Mus musculus: one gene and its partners. The protein of the gene in region 2 interacts with the protein of the main gene of each other region in a pairwise test. Links are inferred from orthologs where the notes say so. Each region holds a gene or a part of one and is shown on either strand. Other genes may lie near its edges. The genes, in order: Mos, Mtmr9 and Emilin1.

Evidence for each region.
Region 1: the proteins of Mtmr9 (region 2) and Mos interact in binary tests that used the Homo sapiens proteins (3 or more experiments, as listed by UniProt). The link is inferred for Mus musculus from reciprocal best matches to the Homo sapiens genes MTMR9 and MOS.
Region 3: the proteins of Mtmr9 (region 2) and Emilin1 interact in binary tests that used the Homo sapiens proteins (3 or more experiments, as listed by UniProt). The link is inferred for Mus musculus from reciprocal best matches to the Homo sapiens genes MTMR9 and EMILIN1.

The regions. Positions count from the first base shown.
Region 1 is NC_000070.6:3,870,029-3,873,332, forward strand, and holds Mos (proto-oncogene serine/threonine-protein kinase mos), read right to left. Parts: upstream 2,078-3,304; 5' UTR 1,787-2,077; coding exon 755-1,786; 3' UTR 630-754; downstream 1-629.
Region 2 is NC_000080.6:63,522,984-63,526,973, reverse strand, and holds the end of Mtmr9 (myotubularin-related protein 9), read left to right. Parts: intron 1-31; coding exon 32-183; intron 184-2,756; coding exon 2,757-2,908; 3' UTR 2,909-3,364; downstream 3,365-3,990. UniProt on the Homo sapiens protein: Acts as an adapter for myotubularin-related phosphatases. Increases lipid phosphatase MTMR6 catalytic activity, specifically towards phosphatidylinositol 3,5-bisphosphate and MTMR6 binding affinity for phosphorylated phosphatidylinositols.
Region 3 is NC_000071.6:30,912,210-30,916,621, reverse strand, and holds the start of Emilin1 (EMILIN-1 precursor), read right to left. Parts: upstream 2,837-4,412; 5' UTR 2,748-2,836; coding exon 2,578-2,747; intron 1,659-2,577; exon of another isoform or gene 1,641-1,658; coding exon 1,515-1,640; intron 1,106-1,514; coding exon 885-1,105; intron 1-884. UniProt on the Homo sapiens protein: Involved in elastic and collagen fibers formation. It is required for EFEMP2 deposition into the extracellular matrix, and collagen network assembly and cross-linking via protein-lysine 6-oxidase/LOX activity.

The DNA of each region.
Region 1 (3,304 bases), on a different chromosome or scaffold from region 2:
GCATTGGTTTTGTTGTTTTGTTTCAGGGAAACTGCAGCTTGAGTTTAGGTATGTGTTAGGGGAGATTTGAAACATGAAAATTTACAGGGGGAAATGTGGCATTCTATAGTACCATTCGTTTTTGGAAAAATGTTCTTTACCAGTAACTAAGTTTTCAACCCCAGGACAAATGGCTGAAGTGCCTATTTAACACAACAAAGTGGACCTGGTGCCAGGTTCTCCCTGCATCCCTCAATCCCTATCAGTACAGGGTGGTCCTGGCTGGCATGCCCTTCTTCCCCAGCTGTCCTTCCCTGTATAATCCATTTAGTTACTTCTCCTCTTTTGGGCTGCTACACCTGATTCTCCTCTCTTCCTTCTCCCTTCCCCTCCTACCTCTTCTCACATGGCTCAGAGTCAGGTCCATGTCCTATGTCTCCCTTTTATTCACGATAAACTTTGTTCTTCATACCTAGGAGCAGGGATGTCCTCTCCTCCCACCATCACCCCCATTCTTTTTTTCATCCAGGAACAAACCTTACTACAGAAATGATACAGTAGGGCCAGGAACCCCAAAACGGCTTAGTTTACCAGCAGCGATGCCCATGAGATCTGTGGCCCCGTTATGCTTAGGAAAAGCACTTCAGGCTGAAGTTCGTGGTAACTTTATTTCCTAAAAATATGCCCTAGTGGTATGTTTTCTTCCACACCATCCTTACTTCTTTAAAAAAATAAACAGAGACAAAAAGCTTATCTCTACATCGGCTCGATGGAGTCAGCCTAGTGCCCCTCGGAAAGCCTTGAGGTCCCTTTGGAGCAGTTCTGCACCCGGCCTCTGCAGGGCGCGGGCCTCCCAGCAGCTCTGGATGATGTTCTGCAGTGTCTTTCCAGTCAGGGAGGCGGTGAACACCGCCCCTGCCAGTGAGGGGCGCAGATTGTAGGCAACCACTGCATACTGCACGTACTGAGGTTCGCCGGAGTAAGGCACCTCCCTGGTGGTCATCTGCCACAGGGTGATTCCAAAAGAGTAGATGTCAGCTTTGGGCGTGGCAATCTCTCCTTTCAGGATCTCCGGAGCTTGGTGCGTGTACGTGCCCCCTATGTGGTGAGGGGACGCCTGCCGGCACCGCAGATCCTGCAGCTTCTGGGAGCAGCCGAAGTCACTGATCTTACAAACGTCTTGCTCACTGATCAAAATGTTCGCTGGCTTCAGGTCCAAGTGCAAAATGCTTTGTGAGTGGAGAAAAAGCAGGCCGTTAACAACATCTAGGGAATACTTGAGGCACTTCCCCAAACTCAGTTGTTCTCTGCAGCTGAGAGGCTCCGGTGAGCGGGTGGCACCGTAGATGACTTGGTGTAGAGTCACGTTGCCCCCAAACTCCATGATTATGGTACCTAGGCTGTTGGAGTCTTCGGGCGTGCGCGTGCTGGCAGCCACAACCCGAACTATGTTGTCGTGGCGTAGTCTTGCAATGTTCAGTTCAGCCCAGAAACTCCGCTGGGATGCACGTAGGTCCTTGGTGCACTTGTTTACTTGCTTGATGGCCACAGGAACACCGTGGTAAGTGGCTTTATACACCGAGCCAAACCCTCCAGAGCCCAGCCTATGCATCAGACATACCTGTTCCCAGTCTATGGAGAACCAGGCCAGCCGGCGTGGCAGTCCGGGAGCCCGAGGAGGAGTGGTCCCCAGGAAGAGCTTCCCTGCCTTCCTCGGGGCCACCAAAGGAATGCTGCAGGACCGCGAGTCCACCGATGGCGACAGCTCACGAGGGAGGTAGCGACACAGGCTTAGAGGCGAAGGCATTACACCCTCAGATGGGACAGTCACATGAGACACTAGGGAGAAATGAGTAGGAACAGCCAGGGAAGTTTGGGAGCATGGCTGAAGATTGCTGCCTTCATCCCAGTTCCTTTCCCTTCTTCCTTGATTCTCAAAACCAGCCACATCTGTGCTATCACTACTCCACAAGGTGTTTCTTTTTTAAAAAATAAGTCAGGTGGGGTTGGGGGTGCAGATGAAGCCTGGCAGTCTCAGATGAAACGATTGCTCACAGCTAAAGTGAATCCTTAGCAACTTCTTCCCCCGTTAAACAGTACTGGCCTGCCCAAAAGTTCACGTCACCTTCCAACTAATTCTTCAATCACAATACAATGGAAGAAAAAAAAAATCAAGTACATTCTGATGATCATTAATCAGTCCTTCGACTGAAGAGAAAAAAAAAGTACAGTGAACTTGGTGCACACTTTTCAGGCTATAATGATTGTTAGTGCTAGTCTCCAGCTGCATTAAATCACTCCCAGCAGCTATTGGCTGCAAGAGTTGCAATACAAACAGCAGACATTTGTTGAACTACTTGCCAGGGTTATTAGATGCAACCTTTGTAAGAATTAACATCTGTAACTTTAATGTCTTTGATCCAAATACAATCACTTATAGAAGTCAGATCACATACCTTTTACGTTCATCAGAAGGGAGCATTCTGACACTGTATTTGATTTAAACAGCAAGTTAAGACTCTGTAACATAACAACACAGTGACCTCCCAATATCCCTTTCCAAGGCAAGTTAAGCCACCCCATGAGTGTGAGTTTGCTTCAAGACAGATTCTAGACTTCACAGAAAGCAAGTTCCTGGAATTTAATGCAGAGTTGGAGGAAGGAAGAAAGGAACAAAGGTGATTGTGATGACCACGGCTGTAAATATCAGCAAGCGTGGGAAAACAGAGGAAAAGTCAGGAGAAATAGACATGGCTCAGAATCACTGGTACCCATCTATAATATGGAAAAGCAGATGCTGAACACAAATTCAGGGTCTGGCCATCAAACCACACATTCCTCCTTTTTTGTTTTATAAAAATGCGCTCAGTTTTATGCTATATCTCTGGGAGAATGGGGAAGAGCCTTGCTCTGTTTATTCAAAAACGTTTCTCAAAGTGGCTAGGAGTTATTCCTCTTAGCTGCTTGGTAAGGTGTTTTATGCATACAGGTGATAAGTGATCACTTTTCATGTGACAGCTGTGTCCCTTTGACTTCAGAATCACAGGTTTTGAGAAGACAATAAAGGAGAGACATATAAACAACTCAAAGTTCACCAAACTCCAGGTTTCTACTTGATGGTATGATATGATTTAGTCTGCCATCTTGTACATAGTATATAATTGTTAGCACCTCAATGCTTTATGTAAGAAATTAGAATAATTAAAGTAAACATTTTTCGGGAATAAAAGTTGAGTAGCTTTGAACATATTAAGAGAACAAAATATTAAAAATGTAAGCCATGGAATATTTTAATAGAAGCCCCATTCTGTGCACGCATATCAAA
Region 2 (3,990 bases):
GACTCTGATGGTGATTTTCTTTTTTGAGCAGATGTAAGTTGAAGCTACAACAGAAAACAATGTCTTTGTGGTCATGGGTCAATCGGCCCGGCGAGCTGAGTAAGTTCACCAATCCACTCTTTGAAGCCAACAACCTGGTCATCTGGCCTTCTGTGGCGCCACAGAGTCTTCAGCTGTGGGAAGGTAACTCCCCACTGTGTGCAGAGATTCACATACTGCAAGCTGTGCCCTGAGCTGGCCTGGGGTCACATGCCACAGTAGTTGGTTTTTGAAGATGGTCAGCTGGTAACCCACAGACCTGTGTATGGGTGTTAGTGGTTTCTCAGTGTGGCATGACCGCTGACTGCCAGGAGTTGGTAGACAGCTGGGACATGAACGGATTTTAAGTTCTTCTATCTGTTTCATTTCTAAGCATCATTACAATTAAATGGGTGTTAAATGGTGTCACACAGTCATTCCAGTAGGATGTATAAATAAGCACAAAACACCAGTGGGCGCTACGGGAACCACTGTTCATATGGAGTAGCAATTCATGATGCATTCCTAACCGTAGTCTAAAACAGGGTCTTACATGTGAGTTTTCACATGAAGCTAATCTCCTTAAAGAGCAAAGCTTGTTTTGTTTTGTTTTTTTTTTTAAAAAAAGAACATATATCACATAGTGTATATCAGGTGTTCTTTCCAATGGCACAGTAGATGTTCCATTAACTTAGTAATCACTTTGAAGACAGTGAGTGCATCTTCATGCTTGTTTACAGGAAGTACCATACACACAAAGAGGCTGTTGTTTAGGAAGTTCTCCTAGGTTTTCGTTTGTGTCTGTTGACAACTCGTAACTTGTGGTGCTCTTGGGATAGCTCATGTATAGAAGGTGATTTGCCCATCAGGTGGTGCTTTCTCTGGACTGCCTCTTGTTCCTCTTGGCATGTCTGCTGAGTGCATCTTCCTCCTCAGGCTGGGTGCCTCCCTCCTTAGAGTGCAGGGAAGCTAAATGCCTCCATCAGTGTCATCAGTGTCTAGGTTCCCTGAGCAGCCCCTGTGATTTAAATCTGTGATGGGGCAGAACCTCTCTGCTTACTCTCTGGATTGTTGTAGAATAAGTAATTTCCTAAACGAGAGATTGCTGCTTTGCTTCCTTTGTAAAGGTCTTGGGGCTGGTGAAGTAGCTCAGTGACAATCTGAGTTCTGTCCCCAGGACTCATGTGGTGGAAGTAGAGAACCTACTGGCTCTTGCAGCTTGTCCTCTGACTTCACACACACACACACACACACACGAATATACACACACACACACACGAATATACACACACACATGCATACATCATCTGAATAAAATGTAATAAAAACTTTCATTTTCCGAGGCAGTTTACTTAAAAACCACTGTCATACTTAATCACTGAAATGAGAGGCCAGCTGTTGGAGACAAATGCCCTGTCTAGAGTGGGGCTCCAGAGATGAAGTGGTGGAGGAAACACAACTGCCATGTGCTTACATCCTAGGAGGCGTTCATAGTGACTTCTGATCCAAGAGTAGTAGACAGTGTAGTTGTGGAATAAAAACAACAACACAAGCCAGCTTTCTCTAAGCATTTAGCCTCGGTATCTATGAAGTTCACATGCACAGCCAGAACCAGGTGTGGACTGGATATTTCAAAAAGTTTGTCCTGGCCGGGCAGTGGTGGCGCACACCTTTAATCCAGCATTTGGGAGGCAGAGGCAGGCAGATTTCTGAGTTCGAGGCCAGCCTGGTCTACAGAGTGAGTTCCAGGACAGCCAGAACTACACAGAGAAACTCTGTCTTGGAAAAAAAAAAAAGTTTGTCCTGTGGCAGGTTAGTTTCTAGTTCACATTTTCTAAGCCGCACAGTACTATAAGTATTTACAGTGTCCACACTGAATAGGACAGATATCTTGAGATGCTTGTGTGCATAGGTTAAAAACAAACACTGTCATTTGATGTAAAGGATTCAGCATCCAAGAATGTAATGCCCAGGAGCCATTCTGGAGTCAGTGACCTGAGATGACAAGCACCCGTTCAGTCCACAGTGAGCCAGTGGTGGTTGTCTGAGGAGAGGAGCAGTTCCCTGTGGAGCTGGACAGTGACTGATGGTGTAGAGTGATGTGAGTTATTGATGTTGAGGTGTAAGTAACAGCCTGTGCCTCTGATGCCGCGGCCACCATCACTCTCACAGTGAGAACGGTTTCACTCAGGCAGGCAATCTCCCAGACCAAATAGAAGTCTGCAGTTGTAAAATGGGTGACTTTGGTTATGAAAATGAAGACTTCGTGGCACTCTTAAGTTACCGGCTTATTTTCATGAGCATATTACAACGGTGTTTCTGGTTATAACCAGTAAACACCTCCATGACAACTGCAGTTCTTTGCTACTGTGTGGCTTCTTTCAGTAACTGAAGAGTCTGTGTAGTTTAGAGTATTGTGAGGCACAGGGTAAGCCATGTGTGGTGGTGCATGTCTGGAATCCTAGCTGCTTGGAGGCTGAGATAGGTGGATCACAAGTTTCAGGCTAGCTTGGGCCATTTAGTGAGACCTGTTTCTCAAAATCAGGAAGAGCTGTCGTTCCATAGTAGAGCATTTTTCTGTTAAGTGTAAGGTCCTGGGCTCAATCTGTAATGCTGCAAAACAAAAGTTTAGACAAATATAACATGAGTTGTGGGAAACTGTACAGTGCGTGGAGTTACCAGGAACACAGTGCTTCTCTGAACATCCTACTCCTGTTTTTCATTCCCGGATTCTACAGGAATCTTCTTACGCTGGAGCAGATCCTCCAAGTATCTGGATGAAGCATATGAGGAAATGGTTAACATCATTGAATATAACAAGGAGTTACAAGCCAAGGTCAATGTCCTGAGAAGGCAGTTGGCTGAATTGGAAACAGAGGATGGGCTATGAGAGAGTCCTTGAAAGATCGCCTACCTGTCCTGAGGACCTGTCTAGTCCTGAGTCGTCTCTCCCTCTGTTTGCCCTTCAATTCATGTTCACAGTAGCCTTGAACTTGGCTGTAGGTGCGGAATCCCTGTAATGTAATGGCCTTCTAAGCACTGCAAGGTGGCAGTCACTCACAGATATGGCCTGTTAGGCCCTCCACTTAATGAGCAGGTGGTGCTGTCACCTCACTACATATATGACACCTATGCCCTATGCTGTTCCCCATCTCTAGTTTCTCACCAGTGGTCCAGACTAGTTAAGAATCCATCTACAACATGGGCCAGGCTTATTTGCATTCGAGTATAGAGGTGTTTCTTTTTTTAATGGAAATAATTGGGAAGCCACAATTGTATGTTTAACATGTCATCCTGCCCCTATCCTCCACTCCCAGTTATAAAAAGACCATTCTTTTTTAAAACAGTTTTGGACTAACAAAGCCTGTTTTGTCAAGGAGGAAAATCGGAATAGTTATTTGTGATAAATCTGTGTCAAGGGCAACAGGTGTGGTCCTCTGATAACTTCATTAAGGAAAGATAAATTTGCAAGTTGACACTAAAAAGTGTGTGCCCTAGATAACTGAAGTAGAATTCCTTACTGGTAGCCATGCTTCTATTGAATAGGCTTTTCAGGTTTCTGACCATTCATACAAAATGTGTTTTGAGCAATGGGTGTGAATGAAGCCATCACTTGACTGGCATTCACTTTTCAGAACTGCACAGCACGGACAGCACCCGTGAGCCCGAGGTCTGCGCTCTTACTGCACTGGTTGGTATTTACGTCCATGTGACTTATTTCACTTTTAAATATTTTAAGAGATGACTTGTACCACAGCTAGACTTTGATGTCAGAGTGAGCCATTTGCAAATCTGTCCTGTGTTAGGCAAACAGGATTGCGCTGGAGTGGGGAGCTAGGAAAGTGGCACAGCTGCTTGAGACCGTGCTGTGTCAGCAGCAGGGCTGCAGTGGCTGCAGTGGTGCAGTCAGCTCTGGGTGCTGCACCCTTGCATGCCTGTGGGTTGGTGCTTTCCAGCTGCTTGCTGTTGCAA
Region 3 (4,412 bases), on a different chromosome or scaffold from region 2:
CAAGTAGTTCCAGAGAATGCGTTTAACAAGTGGCCATGTCAAATTTCAAACTTAGATCACCCGGCCACCCAACTTGTCCCCAGGACCTCTTGACTTCTTGGAAACCATTTCCTTATCTGGAAAATTCGATTGACACTATGTGTCCTGCCTTTTAGGGCTGTCAAACAGTTTAAAATGGAAATGTGGGAAAGTACTTCACATGCCACTGTTGCAATGACTGGGCCCTTCCCTAAACCACCAGAGGGACAAACAAGAGGCTCTTGCAGCAAGCCTGCTGGGGTGCTGGCTGGCCAGCCAGTTTACCAGAAGTTCCTGTTTCCATAATTATAGTTCAGTTATCTCTTTGGCAGGAAAGGACCACGCATCCGGTGTGCCTAGCCTAACTCATACACATAGGAGGAAAGAACACAACAGAGGCGATTGCATTCTGGGACCTGCAGTCTCCAGGGGCCTGGGAGGGGGTTGGGACCTGTAGTCCGGTGCAATGCATGCTAGGATTTGTAGTCTTAACTATCTTCCCTGCAGACAGAGATTCTCAAAGGAATTCCCCACGCTTCTCCCACAGCTGTTCCCGACTACGAAGGACCTTGGCCACTAGAGGGAGTATGTGAACAAATTGTCTCTATGCCTTCTTGTCTTATCCAGATCTTAAGTTTTCAGGTCTTTCAATCAGTCTCCCCCAAGCTCTGCCCTGCCCCCCACCCGGCCCCCAGACACACTCAAATCACACAAGCATGCAAACATTCGAAGTTTCAGGGACGTCATTACCTCTGTTATAACCACCTTCCCCCCAAGTTTAGAGCATAGAGGTTTCCCTCCCTCCACAGCTGGGCCCCACATTTTCCACCCAGGATTCCCCCATGCCTAGCAACATGCAGGCTCACCTTCTCCTCCCAGTCCACTGAGATGGCTGCCGGCACTGGAGCCAGACAGGTTGGGGCGCACAGGCCTGGGCCGGGGAAGTGGTGTGGAGGGTGCTGGGCCCAGAACGGAAGCAGGGCCCTCTCCACAGTCATCGCCCCCATAACCCTGACAGCACCTCCACTCCATGTCTGTCACTGTCTTGTAAGCCACCCGATAGCGAGGGCGAAGAAAGCTCCGGTACCTGGCCAGAGGAAAGGAAGGTTTTGTATTCTCTCAGTGCAGCTGGTTGTCTTGTGCTTCAGGCTGGGTCTACCTCTCTAGCCAGTGTGTGGTCCTGCTCAGTTAACAGCTATCTGCTTTTTAGTTAAGGGCTAAATCCTGGTTTTTTCTTTCCCTGTGCTGGAACCCTAAGCTAATCTCTTTAAGACTGACCTGTGTCAGCAGAAGTCCCAAAGGTTGGGGACAAGGGGAGAATGCCTGTGGCAGCTCACCAGCCAAGCTAGGACCCGGCTGTCTTCTCAAAATGGTTCTGACTGAAATCCTGTCCTTCCCCCTGCTCCCTCCTTTGCACAGACCCCCTAGATGGCCACCAGCTGTCTGCCCTTGCCCGGATCCCAGTAAGCACCCAATCCCCTAAGTTGGGGCCTCACATGATACTTCGGGAACAGTGGGGCTGGCCCCAGCCACAGGGTTGATAGTCTGGCTTGACAATGGTCTCCACTCCATCCTCAAGGACGCAGCTCACTGTCCGAGTCACCACGTAGGCACACCAGTTCCTGTAGGCACAACCCTACCTGGGCCAAAGGACCAAAGACACAAGCCCCAGTGGGCCCGGAGGTTGAAGGAGGGTCAAAAGATGAAGGGGGCCTTAAGGACCCATTGAAAGTTAGGGTTTTTGCAGGGGCAGCACCCACTCCCCTCTCCTACACAGACACACACACACACACAGACACACACAGACAAACACACACTTTGTGTCACTATGGCAGATAAAGACTTTTCAAGACAGGAAAAACATAATGATAAAAACACACACAGAGAAGTCAGCCCTTCTGACTGTGGGGCCCCAGGGTACCCTAGAATTCACAGTCCCTGTGTACTTCTTTGGGCCTATCTCAAGCCCCAGCTGAGTAAGCTGGGTTCCTGTACATGACCCCCTGCTCATGGTGCCTCCACCCAGCCTTCAAAGAGGAGAGCGGGGCAGGCCAGTGTCCAAATGTCCGACCTATGCTTAAGTAGAGAATAAGCCACTGATGGGCTCTGTCCCCTTGGGGCTTGCGGTGCTGCACTCTTGACCCCATTCACACTGGCTTCTAGTCTGTGAGCTGCTGTAGAGCCAGAGGGAACAGAGCAGGAGGAGTGTCAGAATTATACATTAGTGGATGGGGCCAAGGAAGCCCTAGAGGAGGAGAAAGGTCTGCCTGATCCAGAGCTGGCTGGTACACAGCTGGCAGCTGGCAGGAAGGATAGTCCATACCCCTTGGTGTAGTGTCCCTGGGCACCCAACTACAGACCTCCTTAGGGAAGAGGCGAGAGTTGATCCCCCTTAGGCTACCGAAGCCCTGGAAAAAGTTCCACCGGAAGGTGCATATGGGTAGGCCATTGATGGATGGGTGTTCACGCTGTCCTCTTCATTGTGTTAAGCCTGTTGCCCACCTTCTAAAGGCTTTCCCAACCACAGCCTTCAGCCCTGGATGGAATACAGACTCTTACCTGTGGCGGCTGGCAGGCCGTGGTGAGTTCTGGGCCTGGGGTCCCCCAGGACTCAGGGCCCCAGTGCCTCCTGTGTAGAGGCTGTAACCTCGAGGAGGGTAGCTGGCAGCTTCCGTGGCTATGGTCAGCAGACAGCAGAGATAGCAGCTCCAGAGGGCTCTGGGGGCCATGGTGAAATGTTCCTTGCTGCCCTTAGAGGCACATCTTGGTCTGACCAATAATGCCTATACCGCACTTCCAGGGGATGCCGCTGCTTCAGGGGACAGTACTCCGCCGAGCCAGTTCTGTCCCTAGCTTCCTGCCTGCAGCCCCCAGCTGCACGCCTCCTCCTTGGCTGCTGGGCCTGACCCCTTCTCCCCCTCCTCTTTCCTCCTCAGGCTCCTGTCTGTCCCTCCCTCAGTTCCTTCCGCTCTCCTCTTCTGTACTTCTGAGGGGAGTCTGTTCTCTGGGCCCCTGGCCTCCTGTGCCTGGTCCCTGCCCCTTTCAGAGACTGTTTCCTGAGCCTCCACCCCCTGGCTCCAGCTGGCCCTCTTCTGGTCTCCCTGTTCTGTTCCCTGATGACTGGATCCTAAGGATGACAGAGCTTTGCTCCTGTGGCTGTTGAGAGGCACAAGAGTGACCATGGGCGGGCCAGTCTCCTCTCTCCCTCCCTCCCTTCTCTCTCCTCCCTTCCCCCTGTCTGGCTGGCGGTCCAGCCTCCCCCTTCCTCCCCCACCTCTCCAACCATCGTGCGCCACATCTGCTTCTTGTTAACTCCGGGAAAGAGGGGGGGGGGGGGAAAGGAAAAACAGAGAAATGTGGAGTTGCCGCCGGGCTTGAGGCCAGCCTCTCAGACAGGCCACATGGAGCTGGGGCCAAATCTGAATAGGAGGCCCAGTGCTGGTGGCTAGAACCAGGAACCAGCCAGAGACCCAGAAGCCCTGGGTTGGTCAGAGCAGGACTCTTGGGAGGAGAGAGTGAGTCCTGGGGAGGAGGAAGGCAGGCCTGTACAGAGGATAGCGCATGGGGGAGGGGGCACTCATAGGACCATTGGGTCCTACTGCCTCCTTTTAGAGGCCTACAGTGGGAAAGTAATTACTTTGTCCAAGGTGACACATCAAGTCAATGAATGGCTGGGATGAGACTCTAAATGACTGTAGTGACTCAAGAGACCCGGAGAGGGAAAGAGAAGCATCATCTGTGGAGACAGATAGGAAATCCACCAGTGTGGGAGAAGAGGAAGGACTCAGACAAAGAGGCTTTTCTTAAACAATGGAGGACACAAGAGGGGAAGGAATCTCCTTCCTGTGTCACTGGTGGAGGTTAGGCTATAACCAGAACAGATGATTGCAGTGATAATAGAGCTCAGGCTCGGTTGCTCTCTCTCTAGCCTGGAGGCCTGTATGAGTGTAAGTGTGTGTAGCTCAGCCGCTACACACCATTGGGTCCCCCTGCCTCCTTGTAGAGGCCCACAATGGAAAAGTAATTCCTTTGCCTGCTGCCTCTTGGCTTTGTGTTCTCCTGTTGTGTTCTGGACCTGTGTCTCCGAGGGACAGGACAGACAGGGGGAAAGCTGAAGTACCAGACAGACACAGGCTACGAGATGTTGTTGTGTGTGGGGCACGGGAGAGGTACTGGAGTTGCAAAGGCAAGTCTAAAACTCTGTCACTATCAATTAAGGAATGGAACAGGGCCCCCAAACACAGAACCACAAAAGCAGGGCAGGCCGATTGCCAAGAGGCCAGGACAAAGGCATGATGTGAGCTCTGGCTAAGAGGAGGGAAGAGACAGCTGACTGCTGGGGGTGATGGAAAAGGCAGAGTGTGTGAACAGTGTGTGGCAGGAGAGGAGGAGAA